Linked DNA regions of Ovis aries. The protein of the gene in region 2 interacts with the protein of the main gene of each other region in a biochemical or structural test. Links are inferred from orthologs where the notes say so. Each region holds a gene or a part of one and is shown on either strand. Other genes may lie near its edges.

Evidence for each region.
Region 1: the proteins of TAL1 (region 2) and LMO2 form a complex in vitro, tested with the Homo sapiens proteins (2 studies listed by BioGRID). The link is inferred for Ovis aries from reciprocal best matches to the Homo sapiens genes TAL1 and LMO2.

The regions. Positions count from the first base shown.
Region 1 is NC_056068.1:63,293,819-63,304,772, forward strand, and holds the start of LMO2 (rhombotin-2), read right to left. Parts: upstream 5,644-10,954; 5' UTR 5,502-5,643; coding exon 5,495-5,501; intron 5,372-5,494; coding exon 5,140-5,371; intron 1,115-5,139; coding exon 899-1,114; intron 1-898. UniProt on the Homo sapiens protein: Acts with TAL1/SCL to regulate red blood cell development. Also acts with LDB1 to maintain erythroid precursors in an immature state.
Region 2 is NC_056054.1:21,772,037-21,783,155, forward strand, and holds the start of TAL1 (T-cell acute lymphocytic leukemia protein 1), read right to left. Parts: upstream 6,128-11,119; 5' UTR 5,611-6,127; coding exon of another isoform or gene 5,588-5,610; 5' UTR 5,173-5,587; coding exon 4,988-5,172; intron 3,510-4,987; exon of another isoform or gene 3,449-3,509; coding exon of another isoform or gene 3,444-3,448; intron 3,342-3,443; exon of another isoform or gene 3,173-3,341; intron 1,946-3,172; exon of another isoform or gene 1,788-1,945; intron 1-1,787. UniProt on the Homo sapiens protein: Implicated in the genesis of hemopoietic malignancies. It may play an important role in hemopoietic differentiation. Serves as a positive regulator of erythroid differentiation.

The DNA.
Region 1 (10,954 bases), on a different chromosome or scaffold from region 2:
CCTCCCACCCCATCCCACCCCTCTGTGTTGTCTCAGAGCCCCAGATTGAGTTCCCTGAGTCATACAGCGAGTTCCCACTGGCTATCTGTTTTATATACATTAGTGTATATGTTCGGAGAAGGCGACGGCACCCCACTCCAGTATTCTTGCCTGGAGAAACCCACGGACGGAGGAGCCTGGTAGGCTGCCGTCCATGGGGTTGCGACGAGTCCGACACGACTGAGTGACTTCACTTTCACTTTTCACTTTCATGCATTGGAGAAGGAAATGGCAACCCACTCCAGTGTTCTCGCCTGGAGAATCCCAGGGACGGGGGAGCCTGGTGGGCTGCCGTCTATGGGGTCGCACAGAGTGAGACACAACTGAAGCGACTTAGCAGCAGCAGCAGTGTATATGTTTCCATGCTACTCTTTTAAAATATATCATCACATTATATCGAGATCTTACAAAAGAATACTTAGAACCTATGCATATGTTTTTGAAGCATCAAATGAGCTGCTAGGAATCTACCCTCAAACTTACAAGCTTCAAAACTCCCAGTTCCCTTGGCATACCCCGCATCTTCAAATGAGCTGCTAGGAATCTACCCTCAAACTTACAAGCTTCAAAACTCCCAGTTCCCTTGGCATACCCCGCATCTTCCTCCTCCCACCCTCTCCCCTTGTCTGACCTCCAGAGGGAACCACTATTCTGAATTTTGTGCTCATCACTCTCTTGCCTTTAAAATATGAGAACTGGACCACACAGGCATGTGTCCCTGAGAACATGCTTCTCTAACAGGAAGAACGGCCAACTGCTTCCCGCACAGGGCAGCTGAGACCAACGTGATCTTGGCTGGCCCAGGAGGCAGGGGCCAGGGAGACAGAGCCAGGGCCCCAGGAGGGTGGCGAGGACGCACCTGAGATAATCTCGGCGGCAGAGCTTCCGGCCCAGCTTGTAGTAGAGGCGCCGGCCCACCTCGCCCAGCCGGCACCCGCAGAGGTCACAGCTGAGGCAGTCCTCGTGCCAGTACTGGTCGATGGCCTTCAGGAAGTAGCGGTCCCCGATGTTCTGCTGGCAGCCTCCGCATGTCAGCAGGGACGGGGGCATCTGCAGCACCTCGTCCACCGGCTCCCTGGAAGGAAGGCCACGCATTAGGGATGGCCTCACCTCGGGGAGACCAGCACCAGGGGCTCAGGAGTCACACTGCGCCCCGCAGAGAACCTCACTCAATTGTCTGGTGACATCGGAGAAAGGAGGGGAGGAGCATACACCTAGGGCCGACGATGGGCAGGGAGGCCCCGCCAGCCTTGGGTTAGGACAGGAAAGGGGCTAGCCCCTACGTTCTAGATCCTAGAAGAAGCAAGGGCGGGGCACCAAGAGGCACCCAGGCAAAGGGTACTGCACACCCCCGTCCACCTACAGCCCAGCCCCCTCCCAGACCTGTGGTCTCTCTTCTTCTTGATCCCCCCTCCCCTCAAACTCTACCTCCACACCTCATCTCTTTCCTCCCCCCATATCCCGGAGCCAAGGGCACTGCCCAACCCCAGAGGAGGCACCAGGACTCTAAGAGCTGCTTGTGGCCAGAACAGTGACTAACTAGCGGATTAAACATCTTCAAATTCCCTTTTGAATCTCTGCGCCACCTGGACTCCATCCCTTTCCAACTGCACGAATGTAGAGGTGAGGAAGAAAGGGTCCCCAAATTATTTTAGGTTGCTTTCTCTTTCCCAAATAAAAATACCATCAAGATATAATAGAAATTCTCATTATTATTATTTTTAACAGAAACTCCACATCCTATCCTTCTTACGGAATGAGTCCTTGAGGAAAAAATCTCAGGTGTTGATTAAAGCCACTGTTATATTTATAAAGATCAAACAGAACTTTTTGCACATGAACACTTTTACAGCAGCAAATCTGATTCGCATGAAGTTGATTTAGGAAAGAGAATGGGGAGAGAGTGTGGAAGGCAATTAAACACTGAAATCTCCTCCAGGCAATTGTTAAGAGTGAGCCTGTGACATGTGTTCTTTCATTACAAAATCATATAGTGTCCCCAGTTCACTTAACTGGAATCTGAATCCTTTTGTTTTACATTTTAAAAGAAATAACTCTACTTGCCAGAAGAAGATAAAAAAATAATAGGGTGCGAGAAATGATTCCTGCACCAGATGGGACATGGGAAAAACTGAGTACCTGTTGATCTGTAGCAATTAACAAATGCTCTCTTGAACTTCACTCAAACACAAATCTATTTATCAAAAATCTGTTATGTTTGGAAAAATGGACTTGCTTCTAACTGTGAAACTCCCAAAGGGAATTTCCCCCTTGGTACCTTGAGGATATAAATCTGTGTCTCCTATTTCCAGCTGATGCTGGCTTACTTGGTGACCTTGCATCCTGACTGGCCTGTGCCCACAGCATTTAAGGCCCTTTATACTTAGGAAGGATGAGGCTCAGGGAATCAGTGTTGATAACACACTCTGACACCTTCAGAGAACTGTCTTTAAAGTGCACGCTTCCCTGTGAATATTCAAGCATATTGAAACCGAGCCCACACTTTGCAGAATGGGTATGAGGGTCCTTTGTGAGATGATCTCCTTTTAGCCCAGGGAACTGTAAAACCCAAACTAATTATCTCCTAAAAACTCCACACTTTAAATAGAGTTTTAAACATCCACTGAAGCCTGACTTGTCTTTGTTTCCACAGGTTATGTATAAGGACTTCCACCCTCCCTCCTGAAAAAATAAAACACCCAGCATTTCCCTGTGCCTCAGAATCACTTCTCTTCCCTTTTCACAGCCCGTGGCCTTATTTAGGCTTTCAGAAACATTCATGGAACCTCAACACCACTGGATGCCCTGACGCAGATCCTGCCAACCAACTGTGAAAGAAGAGAATTTGCACTTAGCTGGTGCAAAACTGCCTGGAATTGAAATGAACTGCTCCTGTTATTCACAGGGAGGCAGGAGGGGCCACCGACGGCACAGTAGAGGAAATCTGTGTGTGTGTGAATTCTGGCTGTCTTTCTGTCTAAATGTTTCATTTGCATAGGCCTAGGCAAGTTTCTGGGTGTAATTTGGAGTTGCTGATCAGACTGACCTCAGTCACACTGACCCAAGTATGTACTCACTGAAGCATCTGGTAGGGTAGTGGTCCACAGGAGGAAATGTTAAGCCAAAAAGCTACTGTCTGTGATGGCCTAATATGAGATAGGAAAGGACTGAATAAGATATTGGCTCTATCTTTCTATAATTAAAGATAATATCACATTATCTTTGGTGGAGGTTCCAAGCCAATAACTGTGGGACTCACCCTCTAATTAATATTTTACATTCTCCTAGAGCCTATCTGAACATTACACCTCAATACACTTTGGCCTGGATTTCTGGGATAATTTCTCAACAGTTTCCAAGAAAGATATGGGGGAAAAATGTTCTGCAATAATTTCTCAGCTAGCTGGTCCATCTCCAATTAAAGCCTATCTTCACTGGGCAAATAGTGAAGCAAAGGATAGAGAAGAGCACCCTACTGAGCATCCTTCCGCAGATGCCTGCTGTGTTATGAGGTGAACATGTTTCAATTTTCCAGTCTCTTTGTGAAAAAGCACAAACTTTGAAAGGAGCAACCTTCCTTCAGGGAACTGAAACCTCCAGATTTATCTTCTAATAAAAAGATTAGTGACTAAGTTCTATTGATCGAAAAGGCATTAGGCACCTTTCAAAGGTAATTCATCCAATGCACTCTCTTATTGTATTACTATCATCTTGCCCAGGCTCTGAAAACTCAGGGCTAAGTTATCATTCTAGGTTTGTAAAAAAAAAAAAAAAAAAAAAGTGAGCAAAGCACCCTTCCCAGAGTTTTCCTAAACAAATACTTAAAAAAAAAAAAAAAAAGCAATGTTATTTTTTTCCCTGAGAATTTAAGGAAGCTGGGTTTTTGTTAGAACAAACCTGACTCCTTGTAGATCTGGCTTCTGAACCTTCAAGATTGAATAGTGATGTTTATATTCTCACTGGATCATGGTTACTTCCTGTGTTTTATGAGAACACGCTGAGCTTTTATGCTGGTAAAACCCAGGTATATAAACACCATAGGAGGCTGAAATTGGGAGGAGGAGGTATTTCAATCAGGAAAGCACAATTCTTTTAAAGCAGGAAAAGAAAACAAAACAAAACAAATGCCTCTTAAAAGCACAAATGGACAAGTCATTAACCAGCTCCTTTGGTCTGTGTAACAAATCCCTTCAAAGGATTTAGATGGGGACTTCAAAGGAATAAAAATTCTCAAAACCAGACAGCTAATGAATCTTAAAAGGGCATTTGCGCTGACGGGAAAATGACATCTTAAACATCCCTCTCTCCCCATGTTAACACTGAGCAATGGGCTCAGAAAACAAATGCGGTTCATTTAGAGCTCTGTTTCCCAGACCCTAAACCCTTTGAGATTGTGACAAAAGCCGTTTAAGACTCCGCTCTCCGGAAAAATTCACCTATATCCAAAATGGTGCACTAACTTTGGAGGTTCAAAGGTACCCATCGGTGGACTCCGAGGGGAGAGGCGTGTCCGCGTATCCAGACTAACTCCCGTGTTGCTCGGCTGCTCTAAAGTCTCTGGAGGCCTGGGTGAGCTCCGAGGTGAACTCTCGCACCTCCTCACCCGTGGGTCCCCGGCGCCGTGGGCAACCGCTCCACCTGCGGACCCGGAAGGGGACCGTCGGGGACCCGGGGTGGGGGGCTCCACTTGTAGTGTCCCCCTTTCCAGGACCAAACGGACAAAGAGAAGGAACGAGAGGGGAAAAGGGAGCAGAATCGAGTCCTGAAGGCTCTCGGGACTGCACCGGCGCGCCTCTGACCTCCCCTTGTGCATGCTCCTGTGCAAACTTTCTGGCCCGAAGTGGCTTTAGGGAGCGTCCCAGGGAGCCGCGAGGGGCCCGCTGAGGCGCCGGGCCGACCGCATTCCTGCCGCCCGCCACCAGCCCCTCTCCCAGTGTCCCCGGGGTCACCCAAGAGGATGCGGGAGCCCCGCGCACGGCAGAGGGAACCAAGGGCACGCCGCGGGCGCGCACCTGGAGCCTTCCCGCCGGCCGCCCGCCCCACCCCGCCGCTCCGGGTCGCGAGGCCGTGGACCCTCGGTGGCAGGGGCGTCACACTTACTCAGATGGGTCCAGGCTCTTCCTCTCGATGGCCGAGGACATTGGGGAGGGAGGTGGCGTGCCAGGCGGCGGGGGCGCTCCCTTTGTGGCGCGGGGCTGGCCGGCTGCCGGGGCTCGGACCCCCTCGGGTGCTCGGGCGCCGCCGCCGCCGCCGCCGCTCCTGCGCCTCTTCTTGCTCCGGCGCTCTGGCGGCGAGCTCGCCCCTCCGCGCTCAAGGACAGTCACCGCGCTCCCTTCAAACGCCAAAGAGAGAGAGCGAATCACCGGGCTGCCGGCGCGCCGCGGCCGAGGAGGGGACCGGGGCGCGCAGCCTGGCCCCGGGCGGCTGCAGCTGCTACTGCTGCTCAGGACTTAACCTTCCATCCCGGTCCCGCCGCCACTGCCGCCGCCGCCGCCGCCGCCGCCGCCGGGTCTGGCTCGGCTCGCGCGCTGTCGCCGGCTCCGCGCCGCCCGCGGGGATGGTGCGCGCCCGCCCGGCCGCCCCGCGCCCCTCGCACCTTCAGCCGGGGTCGCGGCGCGCAGCTCGCCGCCGAGGGCAGGGAGGGGGCGGCGGCCTGGGGGCGGGGAGGGGACCGCGCCTCTCTCCCCCGGCTCCCTCCTCTCTCGGGAAGGTCTATTTTCGCTCAGCTTCCCTCTGTCTCTGGTTTCATTTCCTTTTTCCTGATCACGATTCAAATACAATAGAAGGAAATCACATTTAAAGAGACAGCTGCCCGGTCCCCCCCGCCACCACCATCTTTTTTCTTCCCTTTTTTTTTAAACGGGGCTCCTGGGGATTAGCGATACAAACAGCGGCAGCCGCAGCAAGACTGAGTTGGCTTCTTAAAGGGGCCAGCGTCGGGGACAAGGGAGACTCGCTCAGAGACCACCTCTCCTTGGAGAGGCGGCTGGGTTGCCTGTGAAGCATTCTTTAGGGCTTTCCCTCTTCGGCGTTCCCCTTTTGGTTAACTAAGATTGAAAGTGACCAGCGGGCCGCTCAAGGAAGAAAGAAAAAACGAAAATGTGAAATAAACACATACAGAGATGTACGCGTTCCAAGTGGCTTTCGCGCGCGTCCGGGGTTGGAGGTCCCAGGTCCGCGGCCAGGGAACGCGGAGATGCCCCCAAGACAGCGCGGCTCTGCTGGCTGAGGACTTGTGACTGCGTCCGCGCTCCAAAAAGACGACGGGAGCTGTGCGAGCAGGGACCGCACGGGCTGGGTACGCCTCAGCAGCACCAGGGGCAGCTAATCCCGAGGGAGGGTGTTTGGGAGGGACCAAGCTGGTCTGAGTCTCCTCTCCATCTGCCGGCGGCAGAATTCCCTCCCTCAGCATCTTTAAAAATCGGACCCCTACAGTTAAACTGGCCCCGTAAAGGGCCAATAGCACTCTTCACAGAGAAAAGTGCCTCTCCAATGATGGAGAGCAATGCTTGGAGACTATTTTGCCCTGGGTCAGGAAAAGAGAGAGAACGCAGACTTGTTTGGTTCAGGCTTCCCCATCTAATCTCAAGGGCAAACTCCAAGAAGAGAGGCGAATGTAGAACGGGAGAGGAGGAAGCTAAAAGTCTTCTCTTCAATAGAGCAAAGCTTTAGGTCCCTTGGGCCTCATCAGAGATCCCTGAAAATAATTGCATTCAGAAATTATTACTAAAGGCCTACTTGAGCGTGCCACAAGTCTTGTAAAGAAGAAACTACCAGTATTCTCAGGATCCATGGTTTTATAGGAGCAGTCTAGATCATGGTCATGGACACTGTATTCCCTTTTTAAAGATGGCACTGAAGGGTCTGGATGAAATCACCCTGGAAGGTGAAGTCAGAAGTACATCCCTGTAGGCTTCGTTTTCCTTGTTTAAAGCTGATTCTAACTTCTTACATGCATACCTAGAATTTACCATTGTCTGCATGCTCTTGTCCTTTTCTTATGTCCATGTCCAAAGCTTAGGTCCCTATGGGTATAATGAAAATCTCTTCCTAATTCCTCCACTGTCTCCTGTGTGTGTGTGTGTGTGTGTGTGTGTGTGTGTGTGTGTGTGTGTGTGTGTGAAAGGAAGTCTTAAGAGCAGATTTGGGTCCAACTCAAGCCTTTCAATCTAAAAAGAACTTCTGCTCAGGTCCCTGTTTTTAATTAAAAAAGGAAAAATGTCTAGTATTTTTAAGTCAGTCTAAATTATGTGATAAACATATAACCCACCACTCTACAATCAAAAATGAAAATAAACAAATAGGCTTTGATGAGCAATTCACCTGCTTACAACCAATCAGTGTGGTGGTGAAACGCTCAGACTTCGGCATTGGACTGCCTGCATTTGATTTAGGCTCTTACTTATCAGCTAGTGGAGCCTATCTAGGAAAGTCACTTAATCTGAAGAGGCAGTATTGGGTAGTGGCTGTGGAGTCAGGCTGCCTTCATAACAACCCACGCTTTCCTACCTGTGAATCTAGTGGAAGAGCAGGAATCTATAAACTCCCAGGATCCTTATCTGTCAGTAGGGGTATGAGAGCCTGTTGCATCAACTGTTGTAAGGATTAAAAGAGTAAACGCATGCAGTGTGGCCCGTAGACCTGTAATGAACTGAGGATAATAATGGATATGAGATTACATGCCTGCAAAGCATTTGGTGTATATTAAGCACTCATAAATGGTCATTTCTGTGTTGTAGAAAAAAATCGCTGGGAGAATTTAGAGAGTTTGAAATTAAATTCACAGGTGAAATGGAGGTTAAAAATAAGAACTTCCCAATTTCCCACCTAGATTTGAAAACCTGTCCCATTTTTAAAAAGCAAACAGAATGGTGTCCTTTCACTTCACCTCCTTGTGCTAGTATACAAAACATACATGCATTTTCCAGTTCACTATCTTGATGACTGCGTGATGTGTTTTCATCTGCTTGCTTTTATTAAATCTGATAAGTTGCTTCCTTCCTTGCTATATAGTTTTGCATGGAGCCTAAGTTAGTTGTTAAATTAAATATATCCTTGGGTTTCAGGAGGTAACCTCCAAACGGCCAACTTTGGGACCTGAAGTTTCCTTTTAATAATATGCTTCTGTTTTGACCCGAATGTGTAAAGAAAGAGTGATTACTGATGACTTTGGGTCAGTTTCTTATCTTTCACTACTCTTTGGGGAGAACTTCCTTAGAGAAAGTGAATATTTGAAATGGTATCTTAAGATTTCAATTTCACACACAGTGGTTGTAAGAAATAACTGCCTGCCGGTGGGATTTCATTTCTATTCAACGGGCAATTAAATTGCTCAAATTTAAGTTTAACATTTAGAATCGAGTCTCAAAATGTGTTTTCATTATGAATAATTTTAAAGCAATCATGACCTTATTGTATCCTTCCATAGCAACCTTATGCTTTATGTAGAAGAACGACTCAGTAACTAGGAGGCAATTTGAACATGTAAAATGGTTCTTGAGAGTTGAGGAAATCTCGACTTGATCCCTCCCCAGTGGGTTTGCAATTTAATTCCTTTTACCCACCCTTGACTGCTTGCAAATCTTACATACCTTAAAATTTAGAAAATTTCCAAGTTTTCCTTCCTGACTATGAATGTCACAGGAAGACTGAATCAGTTGGCATGATGATTCTGACTCTAGGTGGATTACTTTCTTTCTGTTGGCATTTTCTATTCTTTTTGCTTATTATATCTACAATTGTTTTCTCAGGAAGAGCAGTTTCAAGTGACTAAGGCTACATTTCTTTGCTAAAATGGGCTTCTAGTAGAAAGGAAAATGCAAATGTCATTGGGAAAATGCCAAGAATGACAATTTACCTCTTCTGTTTTTTTTTGCAACCTTTAGAAGCCAAGTTGCATCATATACCTGTTAGTTATGACATTCACGTATAGGGACAAAAATAAAGATTTGTCTTATTATGGCTTCAGCTCCCATGGAAACTCCTTTAAACAACTCAGTTTTCACAGGAATCTGGTTTCCAAACTCATCTCAGAACATTTCAGGGCATGTTGATGGACATATTTTCAGAATGTTAGATCTATCAGTAACATTAGTGAAAAATAAACCAGTTTTCCTATATAGGAGAAAAAAGCCCGGTAAATCTTTTTCAAAAATCTTTATCAACTGAGTTTAGGAGATGAGCATAGGTGTCAGAAGGCATAACTCCGCTGTTTACTAGCTGGGTGACTTGGGGGAAGTCATTTCACCTCTCTGAACCTCAGATTCTATATCTCTCAAATGGAGGCAACAGTAAACTCAGCAGGGTTGGGACTAGAGTAAGGTCACAGGGATATCTGCTTACTTCACAGGGGTTTTAAGAGGATTCAATAGGGTCATGTGTATAAAAATGCTTTGCACAGTGATGTAAATGCTCAGAAATGATACCTGTTGTTATTACCCCATCTTTCAGAAGTCATCACTACTGTATCAGGAAGCAGCAATCTCCTAGCCAGTCAGGACATCCACCAAAGAATGCTGAGACTGGGGTGCTGTAGAAAAAGCTGAAGTGTACCTAAGACATCAGCTGGCTTCAGGCTTGGGAAGCCCCCACTTTCCAATCAGAAATTCAGGAATGTGACCATTTAGGTCCTAGGTAGGCTGTTGACAGCTTCATCACTTCCCTTCATCTGCTTCAGCCACAGCCCTGATTGCATGTTTCTGATTTTCCAGCAACTTCTAAATCACCTGTTAGGACTGAGATGAGAGACAAAGTCAAACTGCTTAAGTAACTGCCCCCAAATGTCACAAGTCCGCAGCGAGGTCTTAAGCAGAGTTAAACTCATGGCACGTCTGGGTGGAAGGAGCCTCTGAAATGTGGTTTCCCAGCTTGCTCCTTGGAGCAGTTTGAAGTGTTTCCCTAGTAGCCTCCACCCGTTCCTGCTCCAGCCACAGCAGCTCTGCACCTATTGACATGTTGCTCAGCCTCTCTGGACTTCAGCTTCTGCATCTGTAAAGGGGGCATATTCAGGGTACCTATCTCATGGAACTGCTATAACAATTCTGTGAAATGAGACATATTATATAAGGTACTTGGAAAGGAGACAGGCACAGAGTAAGCTTCTGCAGAAGATTCAGCTTATACAGAGAGATTCCAGCTTTAAAATATTTGAACACCTGTTGGTGATTCAGGGCCCCATTGATGGACAAGGCAAGTGAGACCTAGAGTCAACAGTTCCTTCTTGTCTCTGTGCCCTTCAAACCCTCTCCCACCTTCTCTCTTGGGTACCAGACCTTGAATTTATTTGCTGCTCTGAAGTCAAGGGGGAGTCAGAGCTGGGCGAGCTGACTCGCAAAGCTGTCCTGATGCCCTTTGTTCATGAGATTCATATCCTCCCTTTAGTTTCTCAGATGCAGCCCTACCTGAGTGACACAACACAGTGCCTAGGATGCTCAAACGGCACACTTGAAATCCAGCTCCTTTCTGTGACCTTGAAAGCCTTATCCTCTCTGGCCCCTTCTACTCCTTTTCATTACAACCCCTTCGCTATGCTAGATCCACACTGATGTTTTCCCTAAAGTTTAAAACAAACCAAGTCAACTCCTACTGGAGGGCTTTAGCACCTGCCCTTTCCTCTGCCTGAGATGCTCTTCCTCTAGAGCATCCTATGGCTCCCATGTACTTCATTCTGGTTCAAATGTTTATCCTCATAAGAGCCTTTTAAAATCCCATTTCTTATCATCCTCCATTCCCTTATCCTGCTTTATTTTTCTTCCTAGTATCATCATTACTTCTACTTTACTACATATGTGTTTGTTTTTTATGGGTTTGGTTTTGACCTTTCTTCCCAGCTAGAATATAAACTCCATAAGAATATGACTTGTTTCCAATTGTGTCTTTAGGACCTAGAATGTGCCTAGCACACAGTAGGCTTTCA
Region 2 (11,119 bases):
GCGCAAGAAAAACAGAGTTGGGGGGTAGGGGAGGGAGGAGGAAGGAAATGCAAAAAGAGGCGAGAAAGAAATACCACCCGTGCCCCTTCTCGGGGCCGCACGGGAAGAGGAGGGAGCAAATCCCCGACCGACTGTGCTCTTCCCGCCCCTCTTTTGGTTTTGGCGGGGAACCTGTCGCGCGGAGGTGGGGTGCTTTTTGCAAACACCCTCTTCTTTCAACGTGCCCCCAGCCTGCCGCCACATACCCACATACGTACACCTGGAAATCTGGTGGGGGTGGGGGTGCGGGAGTGATCAGAGCTGGCAGAGAATTATCCAAAGGAACTCAGCTCTCCCTTTCAACACACATTCACCACCACCCCCGCGGGGGTGTCGGTCTACACCCAGCAAATCCACCTGTGTTCTGTGGAGCCGCTGGAATGTCCAGTGACCCTTTACTCCCACCAGGACTGGAGATGGGTCATCAGGGAGGGAAGAAGATGATCCAGGCCCTACCTCCCTGCACACTGTACTTCCTTTTGCTCAGCTGGACTCAGCAGTGAGGTGGGGGTCTAGAAGGGAGGCCTGGCTGAGGCGGTGTGGAGCCCGGACATTGGAAGAGTAGTGTTCTTAAGGCCACTGGGCTCTGGGCGCCCATCCACGAATGTGAGGAAGGGGTGTAATGATGGCTGGGGAACTCCTCCAGCACTCACCCATCTCCCTTTCCCACTTCAGTGTTGTCTTCTGGGGAACAAGAGGAATACCTCATATATGCATTTAAAAGCACTATGCAAATGCTTAAGTAAACATTATTATAGGCAGAGAGACTGGGCCCGAAAGGGGACTGCCTTGCCCAAGGTCACAAAGAGTGGGACTAGAACTCCAGTCTCTTTGCAATCCTCCAGTGCATGCATGCATGCTAAGTCGCTTATCTGCTTATCTTCGGTACACATATATTCATATATCTCATATATCCCCCATATATGTCCCTCCCATATATCCCCCCATCTCCAACCAAGGACATTGCTCTCCTCCTCAACCACACTCCAGGGTGACTGCAGGCAGAGTGATTGCATTTCCACTCTCTCCCAGTTCTTCCATAACATGCAACAACCGCCACCACCCCTACACACACACACAAACCGAAAACAGAAAAACTATGAGACTCCGGGTCCAGAGTGTGAAAATATTTGTCACTTTTAATAAAACAACAAAAACATAACCAACTCGACAGGCTTTATAAGACGTTCAAAATAAAGTTTCTGCTATCGGAATTATATAAGTGGGGTATTTTATAACAGAAAAAAAATACACAAAAATCCAACTCAGCCCCAAGCAGAGAATTCATTCCTGGCAGCCATTCTGCCCCTGCACCGCTCTGGACTAGTTGGCCTGGGAGCCATCCTCCCACCCCAGAAGAAAGATGGGACCTTCTGAAACCTCCAGATGTCACTCAGCTTAGTTGCCACCAGACACAGCTGATGAATAATCACCATTCCAATTATGCTCCTGCCCTAAGTCTGCCAGCCCCATGGGCTGGACCCCAAAACGACAAAATTCCCTTAGACTTGGTATACCCTGGCTGCAAAGGCAGTAGGTCCGCAACACTTCATTGGAAGCGAGTTTATGATTATGGTGGAAACAATAGGTCTATATCCACAGAATGGGACTGCCAAGACACTTCAGTCACTAGAAATGCACCAGAAGTATACCACTAGAGACTTCCTGGCTCCCCTCAACAGTGAAATGCATTGGAAATATACAGTCCTCTGGCAAAACATACAAGCCCCAAGAGGCTGGCTCCCTACCTTACTATCCCCACGCACCGTTGTGCACCCAGTGACACGTGCTTCAGTCTCAGCTTCTAAATGAATGACGAGCAGTTCACTATGCAATCGCCAAAATGAGCCCAAGCTCTCCTGCTTATACCTTCTGATTCATTCTGAGGCTCTGTGTAGGATCAGATCTCAGGGGGTGGGGGTGGTGGGAGTAAGTATTTTAGATGAGTTGACTCTGGCCCGAATGCTCTCTCCAGATGCCTATAAATATCTGTATCTCTCAGACTCCCCCTGAGAAACCTATAATTGGTCCCCTGGGCTTTGTGGCCAACCTCTCCCCGCCCCTCCTGGGACCTCAGGAAAACCCTGCTTGCTCTCTGCAACCAGGATCACCCAAGGCCAGGGATCCCGACTCTTGAGGAAGTCACTGCAGAATTCACTTTCGGTGATCGGTGATTAAACCCGATCACTTGGCTTTGGTTAAGATTATCGAAACGAAAGCCTAGTGATTTTTACTTGTTTTTATTAGGGAAAATGAAGAAGGGGAGTGAGAAGATTGCAGATTTTGAACTGAACAGCGCTGGACTATTCGACCATTACAACTCCTCTTTGTGCGACCAAATCCCAGCTCCAAGCCCCCTACCTCGGCTCATCTCCTGTTGCCAGGCAGGCAGCCGGATCATTTCCATATGTGTCTGAAGGAGACCGGAGAACCTGAGAGCTCTAGGGGCAGACACCTGGTTTCTGGCAGTTCCCCATCCCCAGCAGGGAAAATTTTTTGTGTAAAAGCAGCCTCCGCCATGCCCTGGGCTAGAGCCACTGCCTTAGACTTGGCCTCCAGTCGGTCCCTCATACTGCATCCACACACACCCCCACCCCGGCATGACCCCCTAGGGGAGCCCCAAGCCTGCACACAAACCACAATCACCCCAGAACAGAACCACTTTCCCGCTGCTACTGGTGTGGAGGGGTGTTCGAACGCAGCCCCACCCTAGGCCTGAGGCCCCCGACTGGGCCCACCCAAGTTAGGACTGCGTTAGCCAGGATGGCTGCGGCCTTCTTCCTGCCGGGGCCCTCCCCTCCCCACTGCACACAACCTGACCTATCCGAATACAGCCGTCCCAAAGTTATGAGCCTTGTGAAACATTTACGGAACCATGGAGCATTAGGGGGAATACAGTCCAACTAACTGTTCTTATGCGGGAAAGGGCCCTGCTGGAAGCCACAGTAGCAGAGGCCGCAGTCAGTGGCAGAGTCAGATCTCAGGATTCCCAGCTCTGGGTTCATCCTCCTCTCCCCCTCCCCAATCTGAAACTGGACTGTCCTCTGTCCCCAGCTTTCCCCACCTCAGGCCAGATCCCAAGGCCTTCCTGGTGACTGTTTCCATCAGCCCTGTCATCCCCCCAAAAACTCACCTGGGGCATATTTAGAGAGACAGGCCCCTCTGAATAGGATCTCCACTCCTCCGGCCAGAGAGAGGTGGGAGTCGAGGTCCAGGTTGTGGACGGGGGTCTTTGCTCTCCCCGTCTCTCACCGAGAGCCCGGCAGTTAGGCCAGTTAGGCCGCGGTGTGGTCCTGGGCGGTCTGCCGCGCCCAAAGCGAGTTTCCAGGAAAGATGGGGGTGGAGAGAAAGGGAGGGCAAGAGGGAGGGAGAGAGAGAAATGGGGGTCAATGGCTGGGAATTACCTCATGTCCTCCTCAACCAACCCTGGGGATCGCCAGCAGCTTTCCACCCCCGACCTGCAGGTGTTTGAAGCCTCCCCCACACCCCCAGAAAAAAGAACCCGGCACCTGACCAATCAGGAATAACTACATAGTCCAACAACAACAGCTCGCGGCAGACTGCCCTGAACATTATCGGACCCTCCAACCCGGAGGGTTCAGTGTGGCTCGTTTGTTTTCTAACAGCGGTTGGCTCTGGAACCGAAGTCAGGCGAGTCAGAGCTGCGGCCACAGCACCGGAGTCGTCCGCAGCCTGGCTTGGGTGGGTAGGGGGATGTGTGTACCAAAAGGGGGATCCAGTCTTTAGACCGTGGTCGGTGGGACAAAACCTCTGAGAAGCCCCATTCTCTCTCTGACTCTCACCGCCCCACCTCCAACCTAAACCGAAACCAGAACCCAATTCCAAAGACTACTTTCCCGAAGGGATACAACACAGTCTGAACCGCAGAAATCAGAGAGAATAGGGGGAAGGGGGCAGAGAATCTGATGTATCCAGGTCCCTTTTTTTTCTTCCTACCGATTATGGGAAACAAACAAAAAAGGATGAGGAAGGGGAAAATAAGGAAAGAAATTAAAAAAGAGAGAGAAGGAAGGTCCTGCCTCTCCCTCCAACCATCCCTACACAAAATTTTCGATTCTTCCGTATTCAAGTCAGCAGAGTACAAGAGAATTCTATTAATTCTTTGCAGCAGTAAACAAGGAAAGGAGGGAGGGTAAAAATAAATCAAATATTGCTTCCCAGGGTGTAGTGGCAGGGAAATTTAGTTTGCCTTTTTTCTTTTTTTTCCTCTCCCTGTGGAAGGTTTTGTTTAATTTGTTTTGCTGAAATCGTACAGTTTATGGCCACACATCGAAGTCTTGGATTAATAGCTAATGCCACCTTTTTTTGCCCTGGCTTTAGTGAAAATACAGTAATAATTGTTCCCTGCAGTTTCAATCCAATGCAGATTTTCTTTCTCCTCTTCTAATTCAAAAGGGGGGAGGGGTGAGAACAAGGGGAAATCCAGTTGTGCCCGGTGTCTTAGGTCGGGGTTAATTTTTGCTTTAGGATGGAGTCTCTGTGCTCCTCCCTCTCTCCATTTCTCCCCTAGTCACAAACCCAGCAACTTAAAAAAGAGAGCGCTGGTGGGAGGAAACCCCCGCTGCTTTGTTATCGCCCCAAAGAAGCTAAAAGGGACTAGTCGCTCCTACATGACTATTTTAATTAAAATATGATGGTGATGACGATGACTGTGATGGTGATGATGACATTAGCAACCACAACCACTGGCAAAACAAAATCCTTTCTTTAGGAGCTAGGGCAGCACTGACCTAGCCCGGCCCTGGTCATCGATGCGACGGGGTATCTGACCCAAGCGGGAATGTGGCTCACCCGGGGAAGGGGTGGAAAAATGTTCCTTGGAGATGATCCCGAAGTCCCCACCCGAGGCGCGAGGCCTGGAGAATGCGCCCATTGTCTTTTCCTGGCCTCTCCCGCAGACCCCGGCGGCCGTACCCGTGAAACTGACCAGAAATGGACGAAGCCTGAGTGCCGCGGGAACCGAAGCTGGCGGCTACCGGCTTGAAGGCGCGGGCCTCCGCGAACGCTGCTCAGCTTCCAGCCTGGAAGAGGCTCCCACTCACTAACAAACCCCTCCAACACTGAGGCACAGACTGGCCTCCGGACAGAGCAGCCGCTGATCCAGCTGCTCATCCAAGCCAACACTGGCTTCCGAATACATCATAAATTGGAATAAAATGTGAAATCCCTCACCCCGCCCCCATGCCGCCTCCTCAACTTGCGCATCCATCTCTCGCTCGTTCGCCCTCCCCTCCACCCCCAGCGATTTACAAATGCACTTCCAAAGGACACTAGCACACAGCCACACAAGCCGGGGTGGACAAGGCCACTCGCGGACCAGCCGCATAGAAGGGAAGCAAAGTAAGCACAGCGCAACACTGCCCCACAAGCCGACTCGGTCAGGCCCAAACATTGTCCAGCAGGACACAACGAAACCGATCAAATGCAATCGCTCCTAGGCGCACGACCCAAGGTAGTCAGGATCACGGACGTCCAAAACAACGACGAGACTATCCAAACACAATCGAGATCAAGCAACCCAACATACATGTCGAGAAGGCAAACGAGCATAACTGTATCTACAACGATGAAAACGCAGAAGGGCCTCGGAGAATCCGAATCTATACACCGAACAGCACAAGCACCATCACACTTGGGACACACAACCTGTCGCCTGGAAGACCACACTCAGAAGTCAACACTGTCCATAGCTCACACACGCACTCTCAACAATTCCACTGCATGCCCACAACCACCAAGAAGAAACGAAAACCAACCACCGCCTCGCGCATTTCTGTATATTGCGTAAGAAAAAAGGGAAGGAAGGAAGAGAGTCTCCGAGACGGGAGGGGCGGCGACGGCGGCGGCGAGCGCAAGGGCGTCCCTGGAAAATGCCCCCCCATCGAAAGAAACCGAGGGAAAAGGAGCGAAACCTTGTTTTTGCGAGCGGGCAAAAAGAGGGAAGAAATTGATGGGGAATTCCATGAGAGGCTGCAGGTTGCCTTCCCCTAGAAAAAGGCCAGAATGCTCACGTTTTGCCGCTACTGGGGGACGCGTGTGGCCATTTTGAGGCCTGGTCCTTAGTGCCGAGCCCTCCCCTCCCCCCGGCCCCGTCCCCGTTCCCCCGCCCGCCCGCGCCGCGCCGCGCCGCGCCCGGCTCCTCCACCGCCGCGCTCTAATCCCGCTCACGTTCTAGGCCTCGTTAGCATGGGCCGAGGCGCGCGGGGGCCGTGTGCGCCGCGGAGATAAGGCACTGCCGCGGGTCCGCTCGCCCCCGATAAGCGCCTCGGCCATTATGGGCCAAATGATTCATTTTAATTTGGCAATTTCACCGGAGGGGAGTGGGGACTGGTTGCACGGCTTTGGGACCGGCCCCGGAATGCGCCACGGAGAGAGCTGGGCTCTGTGTAGGACCCGGCGGGTGCAGCCTCATTACAGATCCCGAGGCCTCCCGGATCTCCCGGCTCCCCACAACCTCAGTCCCTCCTCCTTCGAGACACATTTCTCCAACGACTCGCATTTCAGCCAGACCACAGCACCCAAACGGTCACATCTAACCCTTCCTTCCCTGACATCTATTCATTCTAGTGTCCTAGATACCCGAATTTCAAGGGACAGTTCCTCTTAGCCCAGAAAGCTCCCCAGCTCCCACCCTTCCCACTCCCATCCCCCCTGAACCTTGTCTCTTTTCTGCTCTAAAATGGAGCCTGCTTGCCTGAATGTCTGGACTGAGGTTTCTCCAACGGGCTCTAGGGAGGAGGAACTGGTGACAACTAAGTGTTTAAAATATCCATTCTACTGAGTTTCAGGCTGAGCCCAGAGCTCGGGAACATTTAACATTTTAATCTCACTACTGAAGCACTGTGGGCTTCCCTGGTGGTTCAGTTGGTAAAGAATCTGACCACAATGCAGGAGACCCAGGTTCAATCCCTGGGTCCGGAGGATCCCCTGGAGGAGGAAATGGCAACCCACTCCAGTATTCTTGCCTGGAGAATTCCAAGAACAGAGGAGCCTAGCGGGCTACAGTCCATGGGGTCACAAAGAGTCAGACAGGACTGAGCGACTAACACACACTGAAGCCCTGTACAAATACTAACTGATTTCGTTCTCACAAACAATTCTAAGAGGTTGATGCGGTGATCTTCACCTAACAGATAGGGAAACTGAAGCACAGACAGGAAAAGTAATTTCCCCAGTGTTACAGATCTATTGAGTGGTGAAACCTGAGTTTGAAGCAAATTTGGCACCGGAATCCTCCAGAGCCCATCCAGAGCCTAGGCTTGGAGGACAGATATGGGCTCAACTCATTGCAGGAGCCCAGATCTGTACTGTGTCCTAAAAATCTGGGTTCTGTGAGAGGGCAGGCAGTGAAAAAATCTGGCTTAAAACTCAACATTCAAAGAAACGAAGATGATGGCATCTGGTCTGATCACTTCATGGCAAATCGGGAAAGAATGGAAACAGTGACGTTTTATTTTCTTGGGCTCCAAAATCACTGTGGATGGTGACTGTAGCCATGAAATTAAAAGACCCTTGCTCCTTGGAAGAAAAGCTGTGACAAACCTAGACAGCATGCTAAAAGGAAAGACATTACTTTGCTGACAAAGGTCCATATAGTCAAAGCTATGATTTTTCAATAGTCATGTACGGATGAGAGTTGGACCATAAAGAAAGCTGAATGACGAAGAATTGATGCTTTTGAACTGTGGTGTTGGAGAAGACTCTTGAGAGTCCCTTGGACTGCAAGATCAAACCAGTCAATCCTAAAGGAAATCAAACTTGAATATTCATTGGAAGGACGGAGGCCAAAGCTGAAACGCCAATCCTTTGGCCACCTGATTAGAAGAACTGACACATTAGAAAATACCCTGATTCTGGGAAACATTGAAAGCAAGAGGAAACAGGGACAACAGAGGATGAAATGGTTGGATGGCATCACTGACATCCAGCTTGCTCACTAACAGCTCTGTGAGATGGTGAAGAACAGGAAAGCCTGGCATGCTGCAGTCCATGGATTCGCAAAGAGTCGGACACTACTGAGCTGCTGAACAACCACAAGGCAGTGGGCTCAGCCTATGGAAGGTATATAGATTCATTGTTTTACTGTGGAAGCTCAAATACTACAAGTCATGTAGATCTGAACCTCAGCTTTCTTATCTGTAAAATGGGAGGGTAACAACCCCAGAGAACTGTTATCATTATATATCATTATATAAAATGATCTTTAAAAGGTGGTGAGGGCAATAATTTATGGAACCTTGCCCAGGCTGACATCCTATGCACTTGCACATAGGAGTTCTGGTTATCATTACAGAGAAGGAAATTAGGTCATGAGGAGACGTGACTTTATCAAAGCTTTCAGTGACCTAGAGGAAAAGCCAAGACCCAAACTCAGTTATCCCGTTCCCAGTCCCCAACTCTACCCACCAGGCAAGGCTTCTTTGTCCTTCTAGCATCTTGGTTTTGAGCTCCTTTTGGAGCCTGAGAATTCACGGAACAAGTCCCATTCGAAGACTGAGTCCAGAGTGTGTCCAAAGCCTGAGTCCAGCTCCTCCTTGTCTATCAGGTAACTCTCTGTAAAGATACAGTTAATTCAGTGCAGCCTGTTCCCTCTGTTTCTCTTGTGCTCTCTGGTGGAAGTCAGGATACCATGTGGACATGGGTAACTTTACAGAATCCTATGGAAGAGAGGCTACCCATGTCCTGGGAAAAAGTCTAATTCCCGGACGTGCCACAAAGCCTGCTCTGGCCCAGCCACACCAACTGCTGGGCAAGGGACTCAGGGGAGAGGTCTATGTGGTTCACTCAGCCCCATCTCCCCAGGGCTCTAGCCCTGCTTCACCCACTGTTAGTTACCAAATTCTACCCCTTTATTAGTCTTCTTCATTTAAATATTTATTTACTTGACTACACTAGGTGTTAGTTGTGGCATTGCAAGATCTAGTTCCCTGACCAGGAATTGAACCCGGGGCTCCCTGCTTTGGGAGCAAGGAGTCTTAGCCACTGGACCGCCAGGGAAGTCCCTGCCCTTTTCTTTCTTGAAACCTCTCTGCAATGGGGGTGGGCTTTCATCTCTCCCGTCTCTGGTTTCTGTTGCCTTTGCTTGGCTGCATCACTAAATAGAAAGGGTGGGATTCAAATAATTCCAAATTTAAAGCCCAGCGCTACCACCCTTGGGCTATGGCACCATTGGGCAAATCATTTCACATCTCTGAGCAACTGCGAAAAGGGAGAGCCCCGCCAGGGAATGCTTTCTTAGAATTGATGCCTGGGCTGAGATGGGAGAGTAGGCTGAGGGGTAGCTTAGAGGACTGAGCACTGAGAGCCTTCCAGGTAAACCAAGGGCTGGAGGAGAAGAACTTGAGGTTCATAAAAGGAACAGAAAACAGTCCAGTAATGGCTGAAGCAAGGCTGTGGACAATTCAAAGAATTGAGGAGGGGACCATCATGTTTATTTGGTTGGGTGTGGGAGCGTAATGTCCTATACAGGATCAGATTTGCATTTCTAGAAAGCCATTTGGCTGCAAGGTGGAGAAAGGGTGTGTGGGGGTGGGAAGGATGTGGGGAGGTCAGTTCTGAAGACAATGCAGTGATTCAAGGAAGGGGGATTGGAGAGGGGACGGGAGGGGACGAGGGTTGCCAGGAAAATGGCAAGAGGTAGATGACATGTATTTAGAACACAAATCAGGTGTAAGATTTGGTTTGGCGGGGTGAGGGGCAAGGAGAGATCCAGGAACCCTCTGGGTTTTTGGCTGAATTTGCCTCGATGGGTGTGTTAGTCCTGGTGATGGAGGCTTGGAAGCCAAAGGGAACGATAAGGGATTCTGCATTTGGTTTTAAATGTCTCGAGTTTAGGTGCCTTGGAGGAACCGCCAGGCTGTTGGGTTATTTTACAGGGCATTAAACGACCCCGCCGGGCACCCCAAGGGCTGTGAGCAAGGAACAGGGACAGGTACGGCTTTTGTCAGCCCTGCTGCGCAGAGAGACGCGTGGTGAGGTGACGTCTCCCCATCCCCCTCTATCCGCGAAGCTCCAGATTCTGACCGTCTGGCGGCCATCGCGACCCGGCCCCCAGCCCCCCGCCTGGGGCTGGGGGCTCGTGACGTCTACACTCGCCCCCCTTCCCGGTTTCCGACGGTCGATGGAAAAACGGAAACGGCGCGCTGAACGGAGCGCCGCCCGAAATAGCATCTGGGGCCTGTCGGTCAGCGCACTGTCCGAGTGTCCGGGAGCGAGTGACGCTACCCGCGGCCCCGCCAGGAAATGCCACCCCTCCTCCGCCCGCCCCGAGCAGGGGCCTCGCGCGGGCGGGCAGGAAACCCGGAGCTCCTGGGCTGGGGATGTCGAGGTGGAGGGGACGTGAGGAGAAAAGGCCTGGGAGAAAAGACCTGGAGGGAACTTCGAGCCCGGCTTTGGGCCTGAGGGCGTCGCCGTCGCCACTCTCTGACCTGTCCCCCACCCCCACCAAAGGCCGGGTTCGCCTCCAAACTTGAGGCTTTAAATTTTTTGGAAGTGTTTCTGCCTACCCCTGTCTCTGGGTACAAGGCAGTCTCTGAGCTTTCTCCCCAGAGCTCGTTCCCTGGAGGGATGTGGTGTGTGTGTTTGTGCACTGTGGTGAGCAGCCAGTTTATTTTCAATACATGTACATGTTGGTACTAGGTGTCAGGTGCCGGCCTTAGCTTCATAACTATTAATTCAGTTGATCCTTAAAACAGCCCAGAGAGGTAGGGACTACCAGGACCTCCATTATTGTAGGTAGCCAACGGAGGCCCAGAGAGGTTGAGCAACTTGCAGAAAACACCCATCTGGCAAGAGGTGGAGCCAGTCTGCCTTCAGGCTCTGCTGCTTCCAAGGGCAGCAGAGCAAGTTCAAGAGTAAGGCAGTCTTGAGTTCCTGCCCTGCTCCCTCACTGGTCAGCTGTATGTTTCTAGGTAAATGACCTACTCTCTGAGTTTCACTTTCCTCCTCTGTGGAAGGGAGATGATAATTGTCTATACATCATACTGTTCTTCAGTTCAGTTCAGTTCAATCGCTCAGTCATGTCCGACTGTTTGTGACCCCATGGACTGCAGCACGCCAG